Arabidopsis thaliana: one gene and its partners. The protein of the gene in region 3 interacts with the protein of the main gene of each other region in a pairwise test. Each region holds a gene or a part of one and is shown on either strand. Other genes may lie near its edges. The genes, in order: ARF19, AT2G36340, PAP2 and ARF6.

The links.
Region 1: the proteins of PAP2 (region 3) and ARF19 interact in binary tests that used the Arabidopsis thaliana proteins (3 or more experiments, as listed by UniProt).
Region 2: the proteins of PAP2 (region 3) and AT2G36340 interact in binary tests that used the Arabidopsis thaliana proteins (3 or more experiments, as listed by UniProt).
Region 4: the proteins of PAP2 (region 3) and ARF6 interact in a two-hybrid assay, tested with the Arabidopsis thaliana proteins (2 studies listed by BioGRID).

Annotation. Positions count from the first base shown.
Region 1 is NC_003070.9:6,626,640-6,635,701, reverse strand, and holds ARF19 (auxin response factor 19), read left to right. Parts: upstream 1-2,568; 5' UTR 2,569-2,922; coding exon 2,923-2,965; intron 2,966-3,261; coding exon 3,262-3,374; intron 3,375-3,453; coding exon 3,454-3,549; intron 3,550-3,626; coding exon 3,627-3,683; intron 3,684-3,767; coding exon 3,768-3,923; intron 3,924-4,014; coding exon 4,015-4,099; intron 4,100-4,186; coding exon 4,187-4,277; intron 4,278-4,353; coding exon 4,354-4,714; intron 4,715-4,791; coding exon 4,792-4,930; intron 4,931-5,012; coding exon 5,013-6,757; intron 6,758-6,848; coding exon 6,849-7,039; intron 7,040-7,123; coding exon 7,124-7,307; 3' UTR 7,308-8,019; downstream 8,020-9,062. Other genes in the region: AT1G19210 (Integrase-type DNA-binding superfamily protein), read left to right, coding at 8,172-8,729. UniProt on the Arabidopsis thaliana protein: Auxin response factors (ARFs) are transcriptional factors that bind specifically to the DNA sequence 5'-TGTCTC-3' found in the auxin-responsive promoter elements (AuxREs). Could act as transcriptional activator or repressor.
Region 2 is NC_003071.7:15,233,326-15,239,522, reverse strand, and holds AT2G36340 (DNA-binding storekeeper protein-related transcriptional regulator), read right to left. Parts: upstream 4,037-6,197; 5' UTR 3,666-4,036; coding exon 3,447-3,665; intron 3,358-3,446; coding exon 3,070-3,357; intron 2,983-3,069; coding exon 2,845-2,982; intron 2,721-2,844; coding exon 2,613-2,720; intron 2,526-2,612; coding exon 2,034-2,525; 3' UTR 1,619-2,033; downstream 1-1,618. Other genes in the region: AT2G36350 (Protein kinase superfamily protein), read right to left, coding at 1-620; AT2G36330 (Uncharacterized protein family (UPF0497)), read right to left, coding at 4,225-4,419, 4,851-4,986, 5,383-5,903. UniProt on the Arabidopsis thaliana protein: Probable transcription factor. Involved in stress responses. Plays a repressive role in cell expansion by counteracting the positive role of CPR5 in this process, but does not regulate cell proliferation or endoreduplication.
Region 3 is NC_003075.7:14,322,109-14,328,003, reverse strand, and holds PAP2 (phytochrome-associated protein 2), read left to right. Parts: upstream 1-2,642; 5' UTR 2,643-2,790; coding exon 2,791-3,212; intron 3,213-3,316; coding exon 3,317-3,570; intron 3,571-3,650; coding exon 3,651-3,792; intron 3,793-3,936; coding exon 3,937-3,998; intron 3,999-4,301; coding exon 4,302-4,339; 3' UTR 4,340-4,708; downstream 4,709-5,895. Other genes in the region: AT4G29070 (Phospholipase A2 family protein), read right to left, coding at 4,969-5,096, 5,244-5,895. UniProt on the Arabidopsis thaliana protein: Aux/IAA proteins are short-lived transcriptional factors that function as repressors of early auxin response genes at low auxin concentrations.
Region 4 is NC_003070.9:10,684,153-10,693,082, reverse strand, and holds ARF6 (auxin response factor 6), read left to right. Parts: upstream 1-2,094; 5' UTR 2,095-3,046; coding exon 3,047-3,089; intron 3,090-3,175; coding exon 3,176-3,294; intron 3,295-3,379; coding exon 3,380-3,478; intron 3,479-3,571; coding exon 3,572-3,628; intron 3,629-3,712; coding exon 3,713-3,868; intron 3,869-3,952; coding exon 3,953-4,037; intron 4,038-4,126; coding exon 4,127-4,217; intron 4,218-4,300; coding exon 4,301-4,465; intron 4,466-4,546; coding exon 4,547-4,669; intron 4,670-4,749; coding exon 4,750-4,825; intron 4,826-4,917; coding exon 4,918-5,065; intron 5,066-5,146; coding exon 5,147-6,384; intron 6,385-6,465; coding exon 6,466-6,656; intron 6,657-6,741; coding exon 6,742-6,958; 3' UTR 6,959-7,261; downstream 7,262-8,930. UniProt on the Arabidopsis thaliana protein: Auxin response factors (ARFs) are transcriptional factors that bind specifically to the DNA sequence 5'-TGTCTC-3' found in the auxin-responsive promoter elements (AuxREs). Seems to act as transcriptional activator.

The DNA of each region.
Region 1 (9,062 bases), on a different chromosome or scaffold from region 3:
CAATTAATTTTTGATGAAATTTATGGTTTATTAATCTGACACAACACTGTATAAAAGATTTTTTTTGTTAAAAGTTAAGAAAGAAGAATGTTGAGAGAACCATCAATGTTAAACCAATAGATGATAGTCAAGATTCATAGTATAAAAATTTACCACATTGGTTGAGAGATCAATTCCTTTCACCATAATGTCAATCATAATTAGCCGCTAGAAACGTTTTCTATGTCAAAAATACACAGCTTTTTCATATTGATTTTGGTTCAGAATTTCATGGTTTTATACCTTGTTTGATAACGTCATTAGAACATATGTACTTTTGTACTACTGAAACATTAAACTAGTGTGCAAAACAAGATTTTAAGATAGTCTAAATTCCAGTTAACAGAAAAATAAAAAATATTGTTGGTTGGGAAATAGTAGAACAAACGAGAGAGAGAGTGTGTGTGGTTACGATGAGGAGAAGAGACATAGAGGCATACACTCACTTAAAAGCAAAACCATTTTGGCTAAACCGAAAGACTCGGTCGGAGTCTAGAGCCTGTCTCTCCCGACATCCTCTGCCACACCTCACGTGCATGCTGCACCCACACTCACGTGCACATACATTTTTCTTGTGTTTTAGTTATTTTAGTAAAAACGATATATTTATTGACTCTTTCTGTAATGGTGGTAGAAATTGAGGAATTCACAAAAGTCCCAAGTTTTTGTTATATATGGTGCATGCGTATGTATTTGAGGAAACTTTTGCAGGATGCGTGGATCAAATCCAATTATAATTTAATTTTATATAGATATAAAAGTCAATAGTGGGAGGTGAAAAAAATATCAACAATGATTGAGTGTTACTACTACTAGAATGGTTAATTCGTTTTGATGAGGAGTGATTTCTAAACACATCAATTGTTGTACGTACATATACTCTCCACGCGCAGCAAATATTGACCCAAAAAGGCATAAAAAACACTAAAGCATGCCAACTTTTTATTCTTGTTGAGATTTACTTTGTCGTCCCATATCTTTTCAAATTTTGATCCTCTATAATATATGTTTAAACCTAACTTATCAAACTTTACATTCCTTTTTCTTTTGCTCACTAGGTAAGGCTCTTGAGATCGCTTCACCTCATCTCTTGTTTAACATTTATAAACATGTAGCTGTCTGGTTAATCAATTTACATGTGGTAAATTATAAATTACTCTAGAAAGAGATGTATATTAAACTGCTAAGTTCATGGCTAATCTTCGGTATTTCTTGTTTAACCGCGATAAGTTGAACATATATTAATGAGCTCTTATGGTTTTTGTTTAATGTCCATTTGGAGGTGTGATCATCTCATATGTTCTCACCAAAAGATTACCACTTGAATTCTTTTACATGTGAAATGTTTTAATTTATTAACCCTCTTCTGTTTTGATCAAAACATAAACTATATATTTGAATCTTTTATATATAATTCATATTAATTAAATAACATCATGTTTTCAATGAATGTATTGACATGATATCAATGAAGAATATTTACTTTGGAAAGAGTCAGAGTTGTTCTCGAAAGATATTTAAATGTTCCAAATTATTTCCGTTTGTCTAAACATAGAAAATCCCTAATTACATATAAATCAACAAAAAGGTAATAATTAGGTCAAAACCTCCCCCACTAAATACATGTATACTGAGATTCAGAAATACAATACTATTATAGTATATGTTAATTGAAAGCAAAATTCATAAGAAAGATCGGCGTTGAAAGGAAAAAGGCTCTACAACTACATTTTATATGCATACGTAGAGAGCTGAAAGTAAGGAACAACTCTACTCCGGTCCAGATTAATTGTAAAGAACTTTATACATTAATTAAAACAAAAACGAACACTTTATACTATTGATTAAAAAAAGAAGAAGATGAATAAAATAATTGCCTGAAAAATTAATAATTACACATGAAGGCTTAGCTTTAATTGGAGTATAATGATGTCCGTAGCTCTGTAAACATGTGAAGTTCTCCTCCTTTTGCGGCTAGTGGGTGCTCCATTGCGTATCAAAAGGAATATTATTCTAATCATAATTAAGTCATTAAATTACTAGTAGTGTTTTTTTTTTTCTCGCATTATACGGACATGTCTCAATTTGGACCAATCCATATAAATGAATAAACTTATTAGCTACTACTATATTATAACAGAAAATATGTATATAAAAGAAAAAAAGTGGGACATCTTTTCTGGTAACCAAGAGTTTACAACTTTGGATTAGAAAATATTTAAGTCCCCATTTGGCTTGCAATTTTCGGTCCGCCGAACCTAATCCTTAGGTTTTTCTCAATATATCCGGGTTTATGGTATAACCTCATTCATAAGAAAATCCGTATTACTAAAGTAAAAAATTAAAAATATGGTTATAAAAACGAGGGAAAGTTAACAGATTTTAAAACCATGGACTGTTTTTCCAACAACAGTAAATTATAATCGGAAAAGATAAAAATAAAAAGAAATAAAAAAGGTGGGACCGACAAGAAGAAGACATCAAGTGGGGTGCCACGTCAGAAGGCATAAGAAAAGATTTCATCTTTCCGCATGTATCCGATCCCAATCGGCTTAAATCTCAATATCGATTATTGTTTTTATTTTTTTGAAAAAACACTTGAGAATCTGCAGAAACACGAGAAAAAAAAGAAAAGTTTCAAAGCTTTTTAAGAGCTTAAAAATTTGCTTTGAAGCTTCAAATATTCTTATGAACTAAAAAGAAGAAAAAAGCTTTTGTTTCTTTTTCCTTAGCAGCAGAATGATTTTTGTTTCCAAAATTATTACTATTTAGTTTCTCTCGTGCTCTTCTCTTGAGCAAATACAGATTCGTTAATTTTGCTGAAGAAGAAGAACTCTGTTTCTTCCCTGCACCAAACCAATTTTTTCGTTCTTTCTATAAACCATGAAAGCTCCATCAAATGGATTTCTTCCAAGTTCCAACGAAGGTACACAAGCTTTATATTTATCTTCTTCTTTTCCAGATTTTATACTATTCAATTTCTTCATCAAGGAGTTTCTGCATTTCATGTTTGTGATTTTCTCATTGAAAAAATGAATTTTGTTATTCAATTTCAACTTTGGAGTCAGCACAAAGTCACAAATCGAGTTCTTCTATCACTTTATTTAATAAAGTGGTTGAAACATAAATGCCGCTCATAAAATTTCCAGACTTTAAATGAAACTATGCAAAAATTCTATCACTTTTAACAGATTTGAATATGTGTGTGATGATGATGAACAGGAGAGAAGAAGCCAATCAATTCTCAACTATGGCACGCTTGTGCAGGGCCTTTAGTTTCATTACCTCCTGTGGGAAGTCTTGTGGTTTACTTCCCTCAAGGACACAGCGAGCAAGTAAGTTCATTGCGTTTCAAACTATTTTGAAACCTTTGGTAGCAATCTAAGTAATATGTTCAATGAAACCTTTTTTCAGGTTGCAGCATCGATGCAGAAGCAAACAGATTTTATACCAAATTACCCAAATCTTCCTTCTAAGCTGATTTGCTTGCTTCACAGTGTTACATTACATGTAAGTCTCTTCTGACTCCAACTTGTGAATCAACAAGAAGATGAACTAATCAGGACTTTTGTGAAATTCTGAATCAGGCTGATACCGAAACAGATGAAGTCTATGCACAAATGACTCTTCAACCTGTGAATAAGGTCTGAATTATATCATTCTTCTTGTGCTATCTTGGTTTAAAGTTGAGGACTTTAATGCTGATCTTTGCTCAAAATGTGTGACAGTATGATAGAGAAGCATTGCTAGCTTCTGATATGGGCTTGAAGCTAAACAGACAACCTACTGAGTTTTTTTGCAAGACTCTTACTGCAAGTGACACAAGCACTCATGGTGGATTCTCTGTACCGCGTCGTGCAGCTGAGAAAATATTCCCTCCTCTTGTATGTCTCTCTGATCAAAGCTACTCTCAGTTTCTTTTGCTTCAAACTTTTGAATCTGTTTTGCTAAAAGTTCTAAGGGTGCTTAAAATAGGATTTCTCGATGCAACCGCCTGCGCAAGAGATTGTAGCTAAAGATTTACATGATACTACATGGACTTTCAGACATATCTATCGAGGTTTGAATCATCTAAAGTTTGTTTTATTAGTCTAAAAGATTGAAAACTTCAACCTGATTTGTTTTCTTTGATGTAATCTGATCTCAGGCCAACCAAAAAGACACTTGCTTACCACAGGTTGGAGCGTTTTTGTTAGCACAAAGAGACTATTTGCGGGTGATTCAGTTTTGTTTGTAAGGTATGAGTCATACTTTGATCAAAACATTAAGCAGAATTGGACTTTCATCTTCTCATAAGGGTACTTGGGTTTGCAGAGATGAGAAATCACAGCTGATGTTGGGTATAAGACGTGCAAATAGACAAACTCCGACTCTTTCCTCATCGGTCATATCCAGCGACAGTATGCACATTGGGATACTTGCAGCTGCAGCTCATGCTAATGCCAATAGTAGCCCTTTTACCATCTTCTTCAATCCAAGGGCAAGTCCTTCAGAGTTTGTAGTTCCTTTAGCCAAATACAACAAAGCCTTATACGCTCAAGTATCTCTAGGAATGAGATTCCGGATGATGTTTGAGACTGAGGATTGTGGGGTTCGTAGATATATGGGTACAGTCACAGGTATTAGTGATCTTGACCCTGTAAGATGGAAAGGCTCACAATGGCGTAATCTTCAGGTAATGACATATCCGAGTTATGCTAAACTGTTTATGATGGTCATTTCTTCTGAATCTTTTGTTCATGGTTTAAACAGGTAGGATGGGATGAATCAACAGCTGGAGATAGGCCAAGCCGAGTATCCATATGGGAAATCGAACCCGTCATAACTCCTTTTTACATATGTCCTCCTCCATTTTTCAGACCTAAGTACCCGAGGCAACCCGGGATGCCAGGTGAGTTTACTGCTTTCGTTCATTTTTTTCCCATAGATCTTTGACTGAGTTTCCGGATACTAACCTTGGTGGTTTGTTGCAGATGATGAGTTAGACATGGAAAATGCTTTCAAAAGAGCAATGCCTTGGATGGGAGAAGACTTTGGGATGAAGGACGCACAGAGTTCGATGTTCCCTGGTTTAAGTCTAGTTCAATGGATGAGTATGCAGCAAAACAATCCATTGTCAGGTTCTGCTACTCCTCAGCTCCCGTCCGCGCTCTCATCTTTTAACCTACCAAACAATTTTGCTTCCAACGACCCTTCCAAGCTGTTGAACTTCCAATCCCCAAACCTCTCTTCCGCAAATTCCCAATTCAACAAACCGAACACGGTTAACCATATCAGCCAACAGATGCAAGCACAACCAGCCATGGTGAAATCTCAACAACAACAACAACAACAACAACAACAACACCAACACCAACAACAACAACTGCAACAACAACAACAACTACAGATGTCACAGCAACAGGTGCAGCAACAAGGGATTTATAACAATGGTACGATTGCTGTTGCTAACCAAGTCTCTTGTCAAAGTCCAAACCAACCTACTGGATTCTCTCAGTCTCAGCTTCAGCAGCAGTCAATGCTCCCTACTGGTGCTAAAATGACACACCAGAACATAAATTCTATGGGGAATAAAGGCTTGTCTCAAATGACATCGTTTGCGCAAGAAATGCAGTTTCAGCAGCAACTGGAAATGCATAACAGTAGCCAGTTATTAAGAAACCAGCAAGAACAGTCCTCTCTCCATTCATTACAACAAAATCTGTCCCAAAATCCTCAGCAACTCCAAATGCAACAACAATCATCAAAACCAAGTCCTTCACAACAGCTTCAGTTGCAGCTACTGCAGAAGCTACAGCAGCAGCAACAGCAGCAGTCGATTCCTCCAGTAAGCTCATCCTTACAGCCACAATTATCAGCGTTGCAGCAGACACAAAGCCATCAATTGCAACAACTTCTGTCGTCTCAAAATCAACAGCCCTTGGCACATGGTAATAACAGCTTCCCAGCTTCAACTTTCATGCAGCCTCCACAGATTCAGGTGAGTCCTCAGCAGCAAGGACAGATGAGTAACAAAAATCTTGTAGCCGCTGGAAGATCACATTCTGGCCACACAGATGGAGAAGCTCCTTCTTGTTCAACCTCACCTTCCGCCAATAACACGGGACATGATAATGTTTCACCGACAAATTTCCTGAGCAGAAATCAACAGCAAGGACAAGCTGCATCTGTATCTGCATCTGATTCAGTCTTTGAGCGCGCAAGCAATCCGGTCCAAGAGCTTTATACAAAAACTGAGAGCCGGATCAGTCAAGGCATGATGAATATGAAGAGTGCTGGTGAACATTTCAGATTTAAAAGCGCGGTAACAGATCAAATCGATGTATCCACAGCGGGAACGACGTACTGTCCTGATGTTGTTGGCCCTGTACAGCAGCAACAAACTTTCCCACTACCATCATTTGGTTTTGATGGAGACTGCCAATCTCATCATCCAAGAAACAACTTAGCTTTCCCTGGTAATCTCGAAGCCGTAACTTCTGATCCACTCTATTCTCAAAAGGACTTTCAAAACTTGGTTCCCAACTATGGCAACACACCAAGAGACATTGAGACGGAGCTGTCCAGTGCTGCAATCAGTTCTCAGTCATTTGGTATTCCCAGCATTCCCTTTAAGCCCGGATGTTCAAATGAGGTTGGCGGCATCAATGATTCAGGAATCATGAATGGTGGAGGACTGTGGCCCAATCAGACTCAACGAATGCGAACATATACAAAGGTTAGAGATCTTTCTCTCCCTTTCCATAGCTCTAATCTTTTGCTTCTTAATTTTCGAATGCTAAATGCCGAAAGTTGTTAAATCATTGAAGGTTCAAAAACGAGGGTCAGTAGGTAGATCAATAGATGTTACCCGTTATAGCGGCTATGATGAACTTAGGCATGACTTAGCGAGAATGTTTGGCATCGAAGGACAGCTCGAAGATCCGCTAACCTCTGATTGGAAACTCGTCTACACCGATCACGAAAACGATATTTTACTAGTTGGTGATGATCCTTGGGAGTACGTTCCAGACCTGAAAAATCTATCTGTAACAGTCAAGATTGAACAATTCTGATAATTCTTGTCTGTTTGTTTTTTCCACAGAGAGTTTGTGAACTGCGTGCAGAACATAAAGATACTATCATCAGTAGAAGTTCAGCAAATGAGCTTAGACGGAGATCTTGCAGCTATCCCAACCACAAACCAAGCCTGCAGCGAAACAGACAGCGGAAATGCTTGGAAAGTACACTATGAAGACACTTCTGCTGCAGCTTCTTTCAACAGATAGAAATAAAAAGATGCAAATATACCAAGTCAACTTACATTATCATTCGAGGCCATCGCAAAGTACATGTTTTTTTTTGTGTGTATGTACTGCAAACAACAAACTGAGAAGAAGAAGATACTGCACGGTATATAAACATTTTTATAGGACAGTGATTTGATTTTTCATTCTAACTTGATGTTGTTGTACTTTCTTGTTTCCATATTTGTATAACAAGTATAATGCTTGACAAGTCTATGAGGAGCATATCTTATACAGAGATACTAAGATGTAATGTTAATGTAACTAAACAATTACCTTCATTAATCATGAATCTTTGGTCGTTTCTTCTTCTTCTCTTCAGTGCCTCCTAAGAATCAGGGATCATTTCAGATTCTTTTATACCAGTATCCTCTAGACGCAGCGAAATATTCAACATTTCAACGTTTGAAAACGAAAAGAGAGGAGTTAAAGAAAGAATCACGTGAAAAACAAGGACAAGGACAAGAAAACCAAACAGTCTCTGAGATTTCCCGTGTGAGTTGTGACCCACACACATTAAGACTCAAGCTTCTAGTAACATCCGCCACGTGTCCATTCCCCTGACACTTTGCGGCGTTTTAAGTACAAACGCGCTCCCTTTGACCTTTGAAGCTGACCTTCTTTCTTCTTCACGCGCCATAAAAAGTCAAAAACTCACTCTTCACTCTTTTATTTCACTCGTATAAATAAATTTCTGAAGCGCCAAATACAATTATCTCAATTCAAATCAACACTAACACTGAAGAACAGAGCTCACTGAAAAAACTTAACAGAACAAAATTAAACCGGAAAACAGAGAAATCATACCGGGTTGGTTCAATCGCGTCTTTGTTTGGTTTAATCGTGATGGAAGGGTCGTCTTCTTCGATGCAGTCAAAGTACAAAGGAGTGAGGAAGAGGAAATGGGGAAAATGGGTTTCAGAGATCAGACTTCCCAACAGCAGAGAACGTATTTGGTTGGGCTCTTACGATACTCCTGAGAAGGCGGCGCGTGCTTTCGACGCGGCTCTTTATTGTCTCCGTGGCAACAACGCAAAGTTCAATTTCCCTGATAATCCTCCGGTGATCTCCGGCGGACGTAACTTGTCGCGATCTGAGATAAGAGAAGCTGCTGCGAGGTTCGCTAATTCGGCGGAGGATGATTCAAGTGGCGGAGCAGGATACGAGATACGGCAAGAATCTGCTTCAACATCGATGGACGTTGATTCGGAGTTTTTGAGTATGCTTCCGACGGTTGGTTCGGGTAACTTCGCTTCGGAGTTTGGGTTATTCCCTGGGTTTGATGATTTCTCCGATGAATACTCCGGTGATCGTTTCAGAGAGCAGCTTTCGCCTACACAAGATTATTATCAGCTTGGAGAAGAGACTTACGCCGATGGTTCCATGTTTCTTTGGAATTTTTGAATTCCATTATTCACAATCTGAAAATTTTGACTTGGGTTTTTTATTTTTTTTTGTAGTTCTTTACCCAATTTTTTTTTGATCATTGGGATAAAGAGTTATTCATTCACTATTTTTTTCCCACGTGTTAGATTTTTCAGATGGGAAAAGGCCAAACTTAATAAAACAATTATATTTGGATCTTCTGACGTCATTTGATCATATTATCATGATATCATCCACTCCAATCGCTTTCACTAGGCCCAATTACAAATCTTATTTTAACTGTACGATTAAGCCCAACAATAATACTTCAGGCCCATTAAAATCAATAAGGGTATTGTCTTATTAAATTTC
Region 2 (6,197 bases), on a different chromosome or scaffold from region 3:
ACATCATACCGCTGAGGTACACTCTGGGAGGAGCTGGGTATATCGACTACCGGCGTCAAAGATATTTCAACCAAGCTTTTACCCTTGTCCACAGGAAGCCCAGGCTTGCCAGCAGATTCATTCAAAACTTGTCTGTAAAGAGTCTTTATCCTGTCTGCTTCAGAAACCCTCGGAGATGCAGCTGCAGATTTTGATAAACGTTTCTGGGAAGCCATTTCTGATGCCTTGGAGATGCAAAGATCTCTCAGAGCCTGCTTCAGAGATATTGAATCAGAGGGACCAACTCTTGGTGATCGAGGGGTTCCCATGGGAAAGGGCTTTTTCATAGCGCCTTTATTTGAAGGGCTTGTGCTCCTGCTCGTACCAGCACTTGCGCTCGTCTCAAGATGATGGAAAGAAGAGCCCATCACTCTTCTAGGTGATGGTTTTATAGTTATAGACTGGAAAAGCTGATCAATGTCATACTCCATAGAACCTTGGTACCCTGACTTCAATGCAGGACGCTGCTCCATATCTTTACTTGATCCCAAAGGTGACATACAATATCTGCTAGAATGTTTGGCTAACCTTACCGCATCCTTCTCCTCAACAATTTCACAAGAACCTGCAAAGGATTCCATCTTAATGACTTACTTTACAACAGTGGACAGCTCCTCATTACAAGACTTGGTTTTTGAAAGACCGAGAGACTCATCTTCCTTGGTTCATCCTAATAATTCCAGTACAACACCCTGCAACAATCATAAGAAGAGACCTTATGGCTTATTTTAAATAACTCACAGAGCAATAATCCAAAGGAAGAGCAGTGTCTATTGAGTAAAGGGAAGGAGAAATGATGAACAAAGTAAGGAAAGGGAAACAACAAGAGATTTAAAAAGGAAATGAACAGTGAAAGTCATTATAGTTATAGACTCAAATGATGAACCCTACACAAGTACAGATAGAGATTAGCTACTTTTAGACTTTAATTAACAAAAAGAAGACATTTTTTTGGTAGGGAAACCAAAACTTTTAATAGAAAGAAATTCATCAAAACCACAAGCCAAGTTCAACTCACTTCACCTAATGAAAATGTAATCAAAACCCATTAAATGTGAAATCAAAGCAAAAAAAAAAAGCAGCCTCGAGATCCCAGATCTCATGAAGCTAACATAAACAGAATGCTAAGAACACTAGCTTAAGTAAAGATTCAACTTTTAATGGAAGATGTCAAAATCTTCAAATCCTTCTGAAGGAAGAGTCCCCAAATCTCATCAAAAGAAACAAATATCGAAAAATGCAGAAGCAAGTACAGATACAAAGACGTACCTAATAACATTAGGAGGCAAAATAAGCTTCTAGAGAGTGATTACAGAGCTCAAGAAGACTCCCAAAAGAAACCTAAAGCCTAAAGGCCTGAGCTTGAAGAGAATCTCTCACAGAGATAGAGTAAAAAAAAAAAATGGAAAAATTTTCTTTAAATTTGTCGGGGATTTTGGTGTTTAGTGTTTCGGTGTGATGATAAAGTTGAAATGTGAAAGTGTGGGACCCAAAGCATATGTTTTGGCTGAAAATTACGTCCAAATTCGTCGTTTCTTTTTTTATTTTCTTTTCGTCTTCATTACATTTCACATCAATCTCTTCTCCGATAATTGTTGTGTAATAAATATTTTGAGTTGATCTATGGTCTTCGTTGAGTGTGTAGTACAAAAATAATATCTAACACAAGGTGAAATTAGTGGCATGTGGCAAAATGCGAATCTTGGCTTTAAGTGCTTGTGTCTTTTTCTCGAAAGAGACAGACGCACAATAAGAAAAGAATGTTAGTGGGCCTGAACAATCGTTATCGAAGCCCAACCCAAAAGGAAGAGTCGAAACAAACACAACACTAAAAAAAGGAGAATCTGCTATGGTTAGCTCTAACTGTTACTTACCTCAGTTACCTGGCTCTAGAACAAGAACGGATCGTGGATACATCATGTTTTTTCTTATCAATATGACACAACCAAAAAAAAATGAGATCATTCCAAAAGCAGAGATTTTTCTTCATTGAATCAAGGAGAAACTCCTAAGTTTGCAAGCTTTGCGGCGAAAGTTAGTTTCTTGACACACAATCGCTGCTCATCAACAAACAATGCCTTCCATTCGTTGATGAGCTCTTTTCTTCTTTCAACTCCAACGTTTTCCAAATTCTGAAGCAGCAATTTTTGTTGATATCTACCTAAACTTTGAAAAAATGTATCCTCCTTAAATATCTCCTGGAGAACACCCAACTCAACCACATCATCTTCTTCACTCTTGTCTTTCACACCATTTTTACCTAAACCTTGAAACGATATCCCAGAATCAAGTGTGTCCTCCATAACACCTACCTCATCCACACCATCTTCTTCGCTACTCATCTCTTCCTCACCATTATCAATCTCGATACTCACCCGCTCTTGCTCCTCACAAGGCACATCCTTATTCTCTTGCTCCTCACAAGGTACATCCTTATCGCCTTTCTCCTCACAAAGCACATCCGTATTCTCTTGCTCCTCACAATCCTTACTCAAAACAAGAAACCAAGATCAATAAATCATGTTTTGAGGTGGTAATAAGAAGATCGGTAGAAACAGAACAAACACACTCACCATGGTTTGGTCCAATTTCTCTTTCTCACCATTATCAATCTCTATACTCACCCGCTCTTGCTCCACACAAGGCACATCCTCACTCTCTTGCTCCACACAAGGAACATCCTTATTCAAAACAAGAAAACAAGATCATTAATTCATTGCACATCATTAGTAACACAATTTTTTACATCATGTTTTAAGATGGTAACAAGGAGATTGGTAGAAAAAACAGAACTAACACACTCACCTTGGCTTGGTCCAATTTCTCTCTCACACCATTATCAATCTCGATATTCGCTCGCTCTTGCTCCTCACAAGGCACATCCCTATCGTCTTGCTCCTCACAAGGCACATCATTAGTCTCTGGCTCACCAGAAGGAACATCCTTATGCAAATCAAGAAAACAAGATCATTAATTCATTGCACATTAGTAGTCTAAGAGATTGTTGAAAAACAGAACAAAGACACTCACCTTAGCTTGGTCTATATTCTCATTAGAAACATACTCTGATTCATTCTTGTCCCATATGATCAATGACAATTTGAAGATTTCATCATCATCAGTATTAGTAAAAGAAAGTTGTTCCCCATGGTTAGATCTCCCCTGATTGTATGTAAACTTTCTCTTCATGTTCTTGACCTTATTGATGAGCTGAATCTTCGAAAACTTTGCTTCTACACAATCTTTGATATAACGGTACAAGGCATCCCAGTCAGATCTATAGCTCAATTTCGTTTCATTCTCATAGTCCACAATACCCTTTTACACACACACACAAAATAGAGTAAAAAAAGTTAGAAGAGGATAAAGAAGAATATAGAGAAGCTGCAAAGAATTTACTAACTAACCCCGAGAATGACAAGCTCATCGTTTTTAGACCAGTTCATCTTTGAAGCAGAGGAAGACAAGCTCAATGGTGTTGTCCTCGTCGTTGTTGTCCTCGTCGTTGTTGTCCTTAGTTGCTTTCTCCTACTGAGCATCGCCTCAACTTCAACCTCACGGTTCCTCGTGAGTGTGTCATCCGAGTTGGTGTCGATGGAATCAGCAACTCTCTTCGTACCAACCATTGATCGGTGATGAAAGATCAAAACTTTGTCAAGTTATATAAAACTCTCAGAAAGCTCAAAACCCTATTGTCAAACAGAGTCTCTCGAGTCTCTCTATTTAAAAACCCAGAGACGATACGAAGCAAAAGCACGATCAATCCTTTGGCGGCTATTGATATTCTCCAGGCGTAGGAACTAGGAAGTCCGAGTGTCGAAAACGTAAATGACTAAAATACCCTTTTCCATTTTTAAACATTGGGCTTGTGCAAGATGGTTTCTTCTTCCTTCTTCAGGGTTCAAGATGCACAATGGATAAGTCTGAGGTCTCATTTACAATCGAGGACACTCATATGGCTCAAGAGCTGAAAAGTTGTTGCCTTTTGCTCTGTCAGAGTCTTTATTTAGTTGGCTATAAAGACCCTTTTGACAACAGGATATGCCTCTCTTATTAACCTCATAGTTTTTGGAAACCTTTATATAGGCTACAAAAATAGTATAATAATTACAATGCTAAGATATATTGATCATTTTTATTATACATCACACAAGGAGTGTGGACCTATACAAAAAGGTGGGAGGATCAGAGAGAGCCTTGGTTAAATAGGTTATAGCCTGAAATGAGGGAACTGAAAGCAAAGGCAAGGAAGGCCAGGAAGGACATAGCAATCGAGGCACTTGCCATCTCTGTGAACTCGTCTTTTCCCCAGTTTGAAACCCAATCATCAACGCGAGTGACTGCTGCTGTTGAGGCAGACATAAGCAGATATGCAAGTACCTGATTGCACAAACAAAACAAACCTTTCTTATTCATAATTCCATCTGTTTTTACACATGCTTTTGAAATGTTTTGCAGGGGACGAAAGAGATTTCAATTATGTAATGAAGGGAGTAGTTTGGTCAAACAAGTATAACAGTCACTTTCACCATGTTTTCCGACCTATAAGATAAATCCCTTTCCACATATGCTATAAGCTAAAGCATAAAGAAAAAGAGTAACAATATTGGACTTTAACCACAAAGTGTTGTTCTTTGATTCACAGGAGACAGGGTAAATACCAGCAGATGGTGCAAGTCAAAGTATCAGGAATTATCTATAGCCAAGTTTTTCTCATCACCTAGATGCAACCACGTAGATCATACTTCATACAAGAACGAAAGTAACAAAGGAATACCATCGAGAGTACAGCATAAGTGTTAATGACTTGCCTGATCTATAATGAACTCAAACAGAGGTCGAAGGTGGTGGCTGATCAAATGCTTCTCTTTGACAAGATGGTACGCTAAGTCACATGCTTGAAAACTAGAATATACAAAAGCAACCACGTTCACAGACAGGCAAAACCTGTCACAGATATCAGAAGATGACACATAGATAAATCAGTTTAGTCTCAAAATCAAAAATCAAATCATACTAAACTGACTTCAAATGTTTGACCAAAACAACAAAATGGAAACTGCAAATGAATTCTTACGATCCAACAAATCAAAATCAATGTCAAAAGGAACAAACTTTACTTCTTTTAAGGACTTCACCAAGTTCAACCAAAACATAGACTTGGACCACGCAAGTGTTAAAGACAATTCACATGTACTAAAACTAAAGTAATCCAAATTTCTTATCAAAAAACCAACACTAGTGATACTGATAAAACCCTAAACCCTAAAATAAACCCTGAACCTAAATTCAAGAAACATCACTATCTGCGAAGAAATAAGCACAAACACAACAAATAATTACCTGTACTCCTTGTAACGATCGAAAGAATCACCACTCCAACCTTTAGTTTTATCAGCAGCCATAATTGAGAAAGATATCAAAGCCAACACAACCTCACTCAACCGAAACCCTAAAGCTGAAAACTTTACCACCTCTTCTCTCCTAGACCTTCTCAAAATAGCCGAAACAGCTCCAGATCGTTGGCCACTACTTCTCCCAGAACCAACTCTCGCACTCTTTCTCGTCGGAACCACTTCTTTCACAGAGCGATTGTGATTATGAACCACCACAATCGGAGATGGAGTTTCCTCAACCTTTCCAGGATTCTTGTTTCTTCTACTCTCGGGTTTACTTTTCGCATCTTCCTTCTCCGATTCACTGGAATGATCAAGAGAATGTGGCGGCGATGGAGAAGAAGAGAAGTGAGTAGTGGAGTTATCGAAAGCTACTATAGCCATTGAAGTATCTGACGGAGGTGGAGATTTCTCCGTGGAAACTGAAGAAGGTGACATCGACGGCATCGTCTTTGCTGGAGATCTCATCGGAAATATCAAACCTTTGTAACGAAATTTAAGGAATTTGACAACGCAAAATCGAATTTAGGAATAAGCGTTGAATTGAAGCGACAAAGAACAAAAGTGAAGTCTTTGATGAGAATCAAACACAGAAAGAAGACTTTGCAAGATTCTTTGTCTACTTCTCCCTGTATTCTTGGTTCTTTCGTATAATGCCCCACTATTTTAGTTTTGACAATTCGCACCTAAAACTTTGATTTGTTCTTTGTGGCCCTTGGTTTTGACTCTAGACTAGAGTCTCTAGCTAATAATTATTATTTA
Region 3 (5,895 bases):
AATATAAAAATTACTATATTAAATATTAGAAAAAGTGTGTAGATTACTATTTACTATATAAAGTTTAAATATTATTGATAAATATTTAAATAAATTTATATCATACATCCGCCTATTTAGGCGGCCTTATCTAGTATATATATATGAGGGCGTGTGTAGAGATTATACTCAGCCACCAAACGATCCAATATTATATATATGTGTGTGTGTTCTATATGTAGACAGCGCCGAAATTAATAACCGCATAAGAAAAACAAAACCGGCAGTTACCATTATGCGGTTTAATTTGATGACAGGTTAAAAAATTATATCGATCTAATTTGATGACAGGTTAAAAAATTATATCGATCTAATCATTTATAGCCATCGGATTGATTCGATATGGTAGGTTATGAGTTATAATGGAGCATGAGGTTCTTGTATGGATGTTAAATCAAGGAGGGTAAGTGGCTTCTTTGTCTAAAGATTCACACTGTCTCTTTGTTCTTTTTTTTTCTTCTTTTTTCGATTACGACACAAACCGATCTTTCACTAACGCTGTAAGTACGGTCGTCCACTGATTTAACATTTTAGGTTTAGTGTAATTCCATTCGATCCTCAACTAACTACATAGTTTTCAATTATAGTCATAATTATTATGCTTGATGAAAAGCAGAAAAAAATGAAAAAACATTAAGTATAACATCAGTACTAAAAATAAATAAAATTATAGTATGTATTTGTCGCTCACACAAGTCTATAAACAAACATTCAAAACCAACATTTTAAGTTACTTAAGCTGTCTCTCGCTAGTATAATTAAACCCTAGAGTTACTTATGATGTCTCTTGTTAATACAGTAAACCCAACGTGGCCATATATAATAATAACAATAATTAAAACCGCCACATGTGATGCAACATCCATATAGATAAGTAAATACTTTGGGTAACTCCAACTAATCTTTAGATTTTATAGCCTTCATATGATTTCTATAGTGATAGACACATTTTTACTAAAGATTCGTATCCTTAGATAGCTTTGTAAGTAACTAATGGCACGATTAGATGGTGAGTTAAGGTGGAATATAAGTTGAGATGTCCCAAAAACGACAAAAACCTTGCCCAAAAAAAGAGAGAGACAAAGGAAAAGTTAAAGAAAGGCACCTTATGATTAAGACACTCGAACTTACACTAAAACACAAATCTAAAAAGCTTTAGATAAGATCCAAAGATGGATCCACCTTAGAGGCAGGCTTTAACCAAATTACTATGCATATGATATTTTATAATACTGCAACTTACAGGTCTTTTTTGTATGTCTTCTTGCTATGTATATACTTATCGTTGTTACAAATGAATGACTTAATCAATACAGCCAAACAATATATAAATCACTGGTAGAATATAAATGACAATATTTCATATACTTCTTCTCATGTTATATTGTTATAGCATCAGATATATTGGTTTAATAAATATGGGTTAAAATATGAGTTGAAACGTTTAAATGTAGATTGAGTCATCCACTTAAAAAATATACTTGGAGATAGATTAGATGGGCATAAATACTATCAAAGTTAAATCTGATTTGATCATTTAAACTTTTATTAATTTAAGACTATGATCCAAGTATCAAAGTTTTACTAATAGGTCAAATTGTAATGTACTGTAGCATATATGCTCGATTTTGGGAAAACATTGTCTGATAAAAATGAAAAGTGGAGTGTGGAGACCACAATTCTTTTTGGGAACACTGCTCAATATTGCTACTGCGGCTAAGTGGCAAAGAGCTACCCCTACTGTTTCTTTCCTCTTTTCATGCTTCTGGTGGACCCAAAAAATGAGAGCCTATGGGCCCAAAACTTTTTCGAGATTCTCTTCTCTGTTCTCACCCCCAAGCCTAAATATCATCTTCCATCGCAATTATTGGCGACTTACTAATAATCTCCATTCGTTAGCTAAACTACTAGTGAATTTATACAAGTTTGTGAAGTTTAAACTCCAATACGTTTGATTTATTATAGAATATGTTATGCTATCATGCACATGATTAAATGGTTCACCGTTATTAGATTATCATTATCATCACTCAATTTCATGAGTAAAGATTGGTTTCACGAGCTAACTTATGAGTTATATCAAATCGTCTAGTGAATCTAAAACATATAATGTTAAGCCAAACTAAACAGAATTAGTGACTCATTACAACATCTCTATACATATATCAAAAAGGAATTGCATACAAAAGCGTATTTTAGATACTAAATCGTTTTGCATGATAGCATAACATGCACACCTTCATGAGATAGCAAATTGTTTTTTTCAAATACAAAAGTAAAAAGTAAAACAAAACGTGGAATACGAGAGTCGAGACAAGGGCATAATAGGAAAGGTTTCAGGACGCTTTCTGTGACCTGTCGGGGAGTAGATGTCTACACAAAACGTAACGTGTATATACAATACATTCATGTGTACCATTTTCTTAAATCAACATTTTGTGTTTAAACCCGCCAAAAGAGGAAAGTACTTACTTCTAATTACGGTTTATATGAATATAAAATTACGTATACTACTTCCGTCCACTTTTGGAAAATAATACGATTCCAAGAAAAAAGAAGATTAAAGGTAAAAAAATAAAAAAAAATAAAGCTCTCTCACACACCTTTTTATCATTTCTCATTTTCACTCACAATTTGATCTCATCTTTAAATTTTTTTGTTTCCCATTTCTCTCAGAAAGTGTTCTGTTCTTTTTTTCTTTTGTAATCACTAAATGCTTCAAAAGTTTGTCCACAATTATATTTGAAAAAAATGTCTGTATCTGTAGCAGCAGAGCATGATTACATAGGTTTGTCAGAGTTTCCAACCATGGAAGCAACAACAATGTCTGACAAAACCAAAACCAGAGACAATAACAACGGTCTCAATTTCAAGGCTACCGAGTTAAGACTCGGTTTACCCGGTTCTGAGTCGCCGGAGCGAGTCGACTCAAGATTCTTGGCTCTCAACAAGAGTAGCTGTCCCGTGTCAGGTGCCAAAAGGGTGTTCTCCGACGCTATTAACGACTCTAACAAATGGGTCTTCTCTCCTGGATCCACTACTGCTACTGGTGATGTCGGCTCGGGTTCTGGTCCCCGTACCTCCGTCGTTAAAGATGGAAAGTCGACAACTTTCACTAAACCGGCTGTTCCGGTTAAGGAGAAGAAGAGCTCTGCTACAGCTCCAGCTTCAAAGTAAGCTTTTTTTGCTCTGTTTTAGATTTTTCTCAGCTTTTTTGCTCTGTTTTATGATTTCTGTGAAGAGGGATTCTTGATGTTTTTTTTTTTTGATTGAGCAGAGCACAAGTGGTGGGATGGCCACCAATAAGATCATTCAGGAAGAACTCAATGGCTTCTTCTCAATCTCAGAAACCTGGTAATAACTCAGAGACTGAAGAAGCAGAAGCTAAGTCTGGACCAGAACAACCTTGCTTGTATGTCAAAGTGAGTATGGAAGGTGCTCCTTACTTGAGGAAAATCGATCTCAAGACTTACAAAAGCTACCTTGAGCTCTCTTCTGCTCTTGAGAAGATGTTCAGTTGCTTCACCATTGGTAACGTTTTCTAGTCTCTCCTTCTTTGAGATCAATACCAGTGATTGAGTTAACTGTTTTCTTTTGGTTCCTTTTTTCAGGTCAGTTTGGTTCTCATGGAGGGTGTGGCAGAGATGGGTTAAACGAGAGTCGCTTGACTGATCTCTTGCGTGGTTCTGAGTATGTTGTAACCTATGAAGATAAAGACAGTGACTGGATGCTGGTCGGAGATGTCCCTTGGGAGTAAGTCTTTGATTTTTAAAAGATCAATCTCAACAATGTAAATTAACATCAAGTATTAGATCATATCTAATGATCTTAGCACAGTTTTAGCTTAACAGAAGAATATAGATCAGTGAAGCTCTCTTACTGTTTTTTCCTCTGCAGAATGTTTATATGCTCCTGCAAGAAGCTGAGAATCATGAAGAGCTCTGAGGCTATCGGCTTAGGTTAGTATTTCTTTACTAAACCCTAGTTTAATGTTCCACACCCATGTGCTCGATTTTAAGATGTATTAGAAAGGTGGTCCATTTTGAACTAAGACACCCTTCTAATACTTTCATGGTTCTTAAGCTTCTCGCTGGATTCTATAAACATTCTGAAGCTAAAGAAATATATTACTGGAGAAACTAAAACGATGCAATTTAGTCCTTTCCAAGCCTCTTAAACACTAGGAACTTACTGCACACTACTGTACAAATGAAGAATACACAATGATTCATACACAAATCTTGCTTTTTCTTTTTTTGCAGCTCCAAGGGTGATGGAGAAGTGCAGAAGCAGGAACTAGGAAAAGCCCTTTTATGTGATAATATATGATTTGAAAAAATATGTTTTTAAGAAATTGAATAGCCATTTTGTTTTGAAGTATTCTTGTGTGTTTGTGTGCTAGGAGTGATGTTTGATCTTTCTTAAACCAGCCTCTACTAAGCTCTAATAAGGCCTCTTCCTCTTACTTCTTTCTCTAATCAATCTAATGAAACATATGGGTTTGTGTATGTGTGTTTGCCAAGGAAGACTTCATAATTCATATGTATAAAAGTTTTGGTAGTGTGTAAACCGGATGTGGTTTTCATTGTTATATATGTTTTGGATGCAAACTTTACTATAGAAAATAGTTTTTCTAGTTCATGAGTTTCCATGAAATGAAGTTATAATGATCCTTTGATAGAGCTTATATCATTCAAACAAAAGACTTCAAAAACAAGGGTTTATTACTAGACATGTACAACGGGTTTACAAGACGCACAACACTTACTAGCGTTTTCACATCTTCATACTAAACATATATATCTATACTACTAAAGAACCTAATCCTCAGATTCCTTTCTTTATGACTTCTATGTACAAAACGAAAGTGAAGACACCCACAAAGGCTTACCGGGATGACAGAGTACCTCCGATATACTTCCTTATGTCTCAGTTTTTCTGAAAACTCCAGCTTCTCTTGCTGAGGTTGCTCACTATCCAGCCAAAGTCGAGTAGATTTTGCCCGTATTGTATCTTCACAAGGTAACTTCTGTAGGGTATTAGTATGCTCTTGAGACCTGAAAGCATTCGAGATAGATGGTTTCAAGATACATCAGTACATCACCAAATGGAAACGGCCATTATCAAATATTACTACCTGAATAATAAGGTAAATTATGAAATAATCCCACATTGATATAAAAGCATAAGGAGATTGTAGTTACCTGTAATGCACATTGTTTTGTAAAAGTGAGCAACTTGAGCATCTCCCCTAGTAACTACACGCTTGTTTGATTCCAAACACTCAAGAAACGCCATGTCAGCTTTAAGCAACTCTGCCTGGTCATGAGTATCATAACCAATATCATGGCAATAACAGCAATGATCTAACCAATCAATAGGTCTCTGATCCCAAACCATCGAACCTCCATCTTTCCCACTAGACCAGTTAGGTCCACAATAATGTCCATATCTCGGGAAAAGCTGTGACAGAAACGCCCTCGTCCCTGTATGCCACGGAACCTTAGACACATAAGGTCTAAACCGATAAACAGTATTCACACCATTTGATCTTGATGACCTCCGAGAAAGAGCATGCCTTTTTAACCCTCTGTTGATAGTAGTGGGTTTCTGCTTACCATCAGAGGCATTTGCAGACCAAGGAAGAACTGAACTGAAGGAGGACCAAGTCCATATCTTTATATCAAATAAGCCTTTCTCTTTCTCTGGCTGTTTGAGAAGAAAGGTTGTTGCTTTCTCTTGCTCTGGCTGTTCCAATAGAGAAGTTGTTGTTGGTGTCACGGAATCAATCATAGCTACATCTTTCTTTGTGCTGATGCTACCAAACCAAGATATACTTGGCAACCCAAAATTCAT
Region 4 (8,930 bases), on a different chromosome or scaffold from region 3:
CCGCTCACTTCCTTTCTTTCTAGGGACAACCATACACTGTCCTATTCTTCTTCTTCTTACGCATATAATAGTATCTACATAACTATTTTGACGTCGAAAATCTATCCTATACGTATTTTAATAATATATATTACCCGTCAATTCAACTTTGTATATATCGCCGACAGAAATATATTAATACATATTCGTATATACATACCGGCTGTTCTTAATAAAGAAAGATTTCGCTTTTGAGAATCTTGTGACCCAATTCAAAACGTATAGAGTGGTGTGATAGCTAGTTAAAAGAATTTGACCATTCACAAATTCGTTTTGGTTCATATCAAAATTGATTTCCATTGCAATACGAATACGAGAATGACAAAAGTCAATGAATGATTTTGTAAGCAGAATTGATCAAGTATGACTAAGAAGCACTATTTTGGCCGCCAGGAAACTATGTTAGGAACATCATTACAAAAATTACAAATCTACGCTTTGTTATATACATGACATATAATCGATGATGCCTTCAAAATTAGTTTCATATTGAAACATAACAAAAATTAATAGTTTAACATGATAATTGACATATGTTGATTATACTAAATAAATTATTTGTAAAATAGGGGGGAGAGAGAAATATGAAGTAACAAAAACAAAAAAGAAAAGAAATGAGAAGATGTCTCTAAAAGCGAATTTTTAATTATTTATTACTCACCTAGTCACCTTATTTGTCATTTTTAATTTTTTATGTTAAGTAATTCTGAAATCTTCCATTGTTTTCACTAAATTCACCCATAATTCTATATATCCATTTTTTAAAACATAACTTGTGAAATCTAGTGTATATAATAACTAATAACTGTTATATTTTTATATTTGTTTGTGTGGGAAAATGTTAAGTAATAACTGTTATTTTGTATAACATGTTCTCTGTATATAATAAACAAGCACTAGGGTACTAGCTATAAGCTACGTTTCTAATTTGTCGCAAATTTTTAAGGTTTTGCTTAAGAATTAGTTGCATAAACAAATGCTAGTTGGATACTTTTGATGCTGATGTTTTATGTACGTATATCACTTTCTTGCATAAAAACACATTAGCCGAATTTTCTAGCAACTGACAATAATGCAACTGAATTTAATACAAATAAATAAATAAAATCTACAAAAGATATGGCGATGGTACTGATCTATTTGTATATAATGCTGTTTCCAACGTTACCCTTGTTTACGTCAAGAAGTTGCACGTGCCTTCTTAGGGCAGTCTTGTCATTTCCCCTAGGTAAATGATCACTATCTCCATTGTTTGGAATCAAAATTCATGTTCTCTAAATTTTTTTCTTTCTTTCGGATAAAATTATCTAATTAAAATTTATTGGAATCTTAAGAAAAAACACGTATATTCTTTATTACAATATATAGCTGAAGAAATCAGATTCGCAAATTTCCAAACGAGGAAGTGTGTATTATACATATATATTACCAATTATACCCTCTTCTACATGCAATTCGAACTACTATTATATACATAAAAAAAAAAAAAATAGAATCAGGAAACCCTAAAAGCACGTCCTGTCATTTTTATCAGGTGATTTCACTGTCTATATATATTGACTTATTGCTATATTCTATATAAAATAAATTTTGCTGTAATTCGCACACTTCCATTTTCACATTACACAATCAAATAATGAGGCAAAATAAAATAGCCAATGAAAGAGTACTTATGTACTCCAAACAGAACTTTTAAACCTTGACCAGTAAACCAAAGGATTTCTACAGCAATGATATTTTTCCTAAAACAAATTGATTCATTTTATTTGCAATAGTTCACTAAAACTCTAGTATAAAAAAGCCTTTGGTCATCCACTAGCTGAAAAAAATCTACAACAACACATAATTTTTATAAAACTACTATGACAAAGAAAAAAAAAAGAGTAAGAAATACGATCATGTAATACTATAATATATGATGGTACCATAACGTATTATTATTTTTTTTTTTTTCCTTTGTACCATAACGTATTATTAAAACCATAATAGTACTCAATTTTAATTACATGGACGACGCAACGAAGTTTTGAAATTCGGGAGAAGCATAAATTAAAAAAAGGCACGAGTCCCAAACTGTAAATAAAAAGGAAATAAGGGGTAAATTAGTAAATTAAGTGTCCTTTCAGAACAACAAGTTGCTTTAGAAGAAAATCAAAGACCCGCTCCGTTCGGGTTCGGGTCAAAAAACAGCCATTGTCGTTCTTTCTTCTTCTTCTGATTCTCATTTCAAATAAGAGAGAGAGAGAGAGAAGTAAGTAAAACTTTAGCAGAGAGAAGAATAAACAAATAATTATAGCACCGTCACGTCGCCGCCGTATTTCGTTACCGGAAAAAAAAAATCATTCTTCAACATAAAAATAAAAACAGTCTCTTTCTTTCTATCTTTGTCTATCTTTGATTATTCTCTGTGTACCCATGTTCTGCAACAGTTGAGCAAGTGCATGCCCCATATCTCTCTGTTTCTCATTTCCCGATCTTTGCATTAATCATATACTTCGCCTGAGATCTCGATTAAGCCAGCTTATAGAAGAAGAAACGGCACCAGCTTCTGTCGTTTTAGTTAGCTCGAGATCTGTGTTTCTTTTTTTCTTGGCTTCTGAGCTTTTGGCGGTGGTGGGTTTTTCTGGAGAAACCCAAACGACTATCAAAGTTTTGTTTTTTACAATTTTAAGTGGGAGTTATGAGTGGGGTGGATTAAGTAAGTTACAAGTATGAAGGAGTTGAAGATTCGAAGAAGCGGTTTTGAAGTCGGCGAGACCAAGATTGCGAGCTTATTTGGCTGATGATTTATTTCAGGGAAGAAGAAATAAATCTGTTTTTTTTAGGGTTTTTAGATTTGGTTGGTGAATGGGTGGGAGGTGGAGGGAAACAGTTAAAAAAGTTATGCTTTTAGTGTCTCTTCTTCATAATTACATTTGGGCATCTTGAAATCTTTGGATCTTTGAAGAAACAAAGTTGTGTTTTTTTTTTTGTTCTTTGTTGTTTGCTTTTTAAGTTAGAATAAAAAATGAGATTATCTTCAGCTGGGTTTAATCCTCAACCTCATGAAGGTAATTCTCTCTTTTCTCTCTCTATTGCTTTGATACTTCTAGCAAATAGTGATTTTAAACTAACTTTGTGAGTTTTGGATTGAAAGTTACAGGAGAGAAAAGAGTTCTTAATTCTGAGCTCTGGCATGCTTGTGCTGGTCCTCTTGTCTCACTACCTCCTGTTGGAAGCAGAGTTGTGTATTTTCCTCAAGGTCACAGTGAACAGGTTTTTGTCTCCTTCCTTTTATGATTTGGATTCAAATCTTTCCTTTTTGGTTACAGGTTACTTGAGAATGTTTTGTGGTTTTCAGGTTGCTGCTTCGACCAACAAAGAAGTAGATGCTCATATACCAAATTATCCGAGCTTGCATCCGCAGCTTATCTGTCAGCTTCATAATGTTACAATGCATGTAAGGAACTCACTATCAGTTTTTATGACAAACTTTTCTAAGTGTCTTTTCTGTTTGTGTGTTAGTTAAGAACTTGATTCCTTACCATTTCAGGCTGATGTGGAGACTGATGAAGTCTATGCACAGATGACTTTGCAACCGTTGAATGCGGTATGAGACTTTACTATGTAATTCATAATTAATTTTGTGGAATTTGTCGGTGTTTTGAACCTTCTTTGCTTGGTTTGAATGCAGCAAGAGCAAAAAGATCCTTACCTTCCCGCGGAATTAGGTGTCCCAAGTAGACAGCCTACAAACTATTTCTGTAAAACTCTGACTGCTAGTGATACAAGCACTCACGGAGGTTTTTCTGTACCTCGCCGAGCTGCTGAGAAAGTTTTCCCTCCCTTGGTAATTCATCTTATTGTTCATATGAATTCTACTTTCAAGATTAGCTATTGCCTCCTTAACAATAAAATTTTATGTGTTCTTCAGGATTACTCGCAGCAGCCACCAGCTCAAGAGTTAATGGCGAGGGATCTGCATGATAATGAATGGAAGTTCAGGCATATTTTCCGAGGTTAGCTTTCTTCGTGAAAAATCCAAGTTCTTATTAATAGCTGAAGAACAAAGAGATTTATTTAATCTGTATTTGTTTCTGCGTTATAGGCCAACCAAAGAGACATCTCCTTACCACGGGTTGGAGCGTATTTGTGAGTGCTAAAAGGCTTGTTGCTGGTGACTCTGTTCTTTTCATCTGGTTAGAAACATCTTTCAAATTGGGGTTTTTGTTTAAGTGTTACATTCAAATCATGAAACTGACTCAAGTATTTGTAATGCTAGGAACGATAAGAATCAATTACTTCTTGGTATAAGACGAGCCAACCGACCACAAACTGTCATGCCTTCATCTGTTTTGTCAAGTGACAGTATGCATTTAGGCCTTCTTGCTGCAGCAGCTCATGCTGCCGCTACAAACAGCCGATTCACCATCTTCTATAACCCGAGGTATCGTCTTAAGTACCTTATGAATGCACTTATGTGTTGATTCTCTTCGTTTTGCATCAAACGGATTCGGTTTTTCTGCAGGGCGAGTCCATCAGAGTTTGTTATACCCCTGGCTAAGTATGTGAAAGCGGTTTATCACACTCGCGTCTCTGTTGGTATGCGGTTTAGGATGCTGTTTGAAACTGAAGAATCTAGTGTTCGTCGGTAGGTGAATTATCAGAGTTCCTATAATTTACTCTGCTTTTTGCTGCTGAATGTCCTTAAGAATCTTCGTTTGTTGTCAGGTACATGGGTACAATAACTGGCATTTGTGATCTAGATCCTACTCGTTGGGCTAATTCGCATTGGCGATCTGTCAAGGTTTAGCTCAAAACCAAACCTTTAGTAGAAAATATTCATTGGTCTTTGCATTCTCGTATACATATATCATTCATCATCTGATCAAAATGCAGGTTGGGTGGGACGAATCTACTGCAGGAGAGAGACAGCCAAGGGTTTCATTGTGGGAGATTGAGCCTTTAACAACATTCCCTATGTATCCATCTCCTTTTCCTCTCAGGCTTAAACGGCCGTGGCCTCCTGGTCTCCCATCTTTCCATGGTATTGTAAATTTCAAAACTTTAACAAATCTCTGAAAGGTTTCTATTTCTAGTCTTTTATATCTTCTAATTTTGGTTGCAGGCCTTAAAGAAGATGATATGGGTATGAGTATGAGTTCACCGCTTATGTGGGATCGAGGACTCCAATCTCTAAACTTTCAAGGTATGGGAGTAAACCCGTGGATGCAGCCGAGACTTGATACGTCGGGCTTGCTTGGTATGCAAAATGATGTGTACCAAGCAATGGCTGCAGCTGCCCTTCAAGACATGAGAGGCATTGATCCTGCAAAAGCTGCTGCTTCACTTCTTCAGTTCCAAAATTCGCCGGGGTTCTCAATGCAATCTCCGTCCTTAGTGCAGCCGCAGATGCTGCAGCAGCAACTCTCTCAGCAGCAGCAACAACTCTCTCAGCAGCAGCAGCAGCAGCAACAGCTCTCCCAACAGCAGCAGCAACAGCTCTCTCAACAGCAGCAGCAGCAGCTCTCTCAACAGCAGCAGCAACAACTCTCTCAGCAGCAGCAGCAACAGGCGTATCTTGGCGTTCCTGAAACCCACCAGCCTCAGTCTCAGGCTCAATCACAGTCAAACAATCATCTTTCTCAGCAGCAGCAGCAAGTAGTGGATAATCATAATCCGTCTGCGTCCAGTGCTGCTGTTGTTTCCGCTATGTCTCAATTTGGTTCTGCTTCTCAGCCCAACACGTCACCACTCCAGTCCATGACCTCTCTGTGTCATCAGCAAAGCTTCTCCGATACCAACGGAGGAAACAATCCTATTTCTCCACTTCACACTCTTCTCAGTAACTTCTCTCAAGACGAATCTTCTCAACTGCTCCACCTCACTAGAACAAACTCTGCAATGACTTCATCCGGTTGGCCATCAAAGCGTCCTGCAGTTGATTCATCGTTCCAGCACTCTGGAGCCGGTAATAATAACACTCAATCCGTATTGGAGCAACTGGGACAGTCCCACACAAGCAACGTTCCTCCAAACGCTGTCTCGTTGCCTCCATTTCCCGGTGGTAGAGAGTGCTCGATCGAGCAAGAAGGAAGCGCCTCAGACCCGCATAGCCATCTTCTCTTTGGAGTCAATATAGATTCATCTTCTCTTTTGATGCCGAACGGAATGTCAAACCTTAGAAGCATTGGTATTGAAGGTGGTGACTCCACGACTTTACCCTTCACATCATCTAATTTCAACAATGATTTCTCGGGTAATCTTGCAATGACAACACCTTCTAGTTGCATAGATGAATCGGGTTTTCTACAATCCTCAGAAAACCTCGGTTCCGAGAACCCACAATCTAACACCTTTGTGAAGGTAAAGTTTTATTTCTTTTCCCTACCCAAAATGTTCTTCTTGTTTGCATGCATAGCGATGATTCCGGAAATGTTTTTGTAGGTGTACAAGTCAGGGTCTTTTGGAAGATCGTTAGATATATCAAAGTTTAGCAGCTACCACGAGCTGCGAAGCGAGCTTGCTCGCATGTTTGGCCTCGAAGGCCAATTAGAAGACCCTGTGAGATCAGGCTGGCAGCTTGTATTTGTTGACCGAGAGAACGACGTTCTTCTCCTCGGCGATGACCCTTGGCCGTGAGTTTATTAACTTATCCCTCATTTCCGCATTTGGTTTTGTCCATTTCCATGTTTATTTACCTGCATTTACCATTATCGACAGGGAGTTTGTGAGCAGCGTGTGGTGCATTAAGATACTGTCACCACAAGAAGTGCAACAAATGGGAAAAAGAGGCCTTGAGCTTCTCAACTCCGCGCCATCTTCCAACAATGTCGATAAGCTCCCGAGCAACGGGAACTGTGACGACTTTGGGAACCGGTCAGACCCGAGGAATCTCGGTAACGGTATCGCATCAGTTGGGGGTTCATTCAACTACTAGAAGTAGATGGAAACCTCCCTTTTTATTCAAGTTAAGTTTCAATCTTATAAATTAGTAGTGAGATCATCTTAGTTTAATTACTAGCAAAAATCTCTCTTTATTACTTATAAAAAAGGGAGATTTGCCTTTGCCTTTGATGGAAACAAAAACTATATAATCCCTCTGTCGACTCGTAATACTGTAATTATAAGATCTTTTGGTCTTTTTCTTATATGAATATTTTTACTGAACTCTATATATGTCACTTTCCTTACTCATTTCTTCAATCAATATGATAGTGAAGGGTTATTTTGGAGTTACATTAAGACTTTGTCTGACTAAAATGGTCCACAGAGAAAGTGATTTGGGTCCCAATCTCCTTATTGGAAGTGAAAGCGTTTTGTGGTTTTGTTGTGTGAAACACCAAAATATTCCGACCCGCAATTTGGGGCTTTACCCTAAAATTAGATCTCATTTTGCGTCAGCAAAAACTTTATCTCTAGACACGTATCGATCCGTAGTTCGTAGGACATTTTTATTGGTAGGTAAATTAATATATGCCCTTATCGTTTATAGTAAGTTTTTTTTTTCACAATATCGTTTATAGTAAGTTTAGTTTTCACCAAAGAATATGAAACGAAATTTGTAGAATGAGTATGGTTTTTGTTTGCGTCTTCATGTTAAGATAATTAGAATATTATAACATGGTAAAAAAGGAAATCTAACTCCTATTAACTTGAGAAAATAAACGTCATTTCGATAATTGATCGAAATTGTTGTGAATTTGGAAAATATCTTGCAATATAACTTTTTCTTGTTCGGTTTTATCGGAATGGGATTAGGTAAGTTATGAAATGGGCATCATTTGAATAGTATAAGAAGAATTTATGATTTAGTTTGGTATTTGATATTATTTTTGTTTGGTTGTCCATTAGGATATATATATAATAGAGTGACCAATTAATTGAAGACCATGTTTTATATATGATATTTAGTCAAAGAAATAACAAATCTGATAAAGAGATATTTGTAAGTATTTGGTTTTGATGTGTGGTGTATGAATGTGACTCACATAAATCTTTAGTGGTGGGACTATATATTCTAAGTAAGAAATTGGAAATGGTTGAAAATAATGTTGGGTGCATGTGGTAGGGACATTTATAGATGACACAAGTTAGGGCACTTTCATGAGCCCTAATTAAATAGTGCATGGTGACCCATCATTCTGAAAGTTCTCACCTTCTTTCTTTTCTTTTCTTTTTACCTTTTTTTCTTCTTTTAAAAGGTATTTCTTCATCTTACAAAATCAATTATTAATTTTAGTTTCATAGGATGTAGTAGCCATTCATTACATGGTTAAGAATATATTCAAATGAAGATCTAAGATCATAGCTTTTGTCTACTACACATAGAATCGTATGTCTTTTCTTGATAGATGTCATAACTATATAATTTCAATCTTATTAGAATTTCATGACTTTAATATCTAGAATTCTTGTTTGTTTAATTTGGGATTAAGTAGCTGAAAGTGGACGAATAAAACTCTTTGAGTTCATTAATTCAAAAACATGCATGAGTGCATTACTCTATAATTAAAATTATTTTCATTGATGAATATACATTGGAAGAGGACATGATCAGTCCATTGTGATAAGATCTTATATATAGCCGTAATTTGATCTTAAAAGGAAAACGTTTCAAGCTTCAATAATTTTGTTGATCGAATGGATAACTTGTTTTAAAGTTTGCTATTGAAGACCTTACCTTTATCTAGTAGTACTATCTCTAATTCGGTCTCATTACCAAGTAGAAATAATCAAATGATATTTGCACTGTTAGTTCCATAAATCCAGTGTTCAGAATCAGAGTACCACCGTAGTAGAATGGAAATAATATCCTAAATTTCTATATCTAGATGTATAAAATTTAAAATGAATATAACCAAAACAAGCTTTTAGCGATAAGGGTTTTGAGTGGATATGTGAAATTTGTT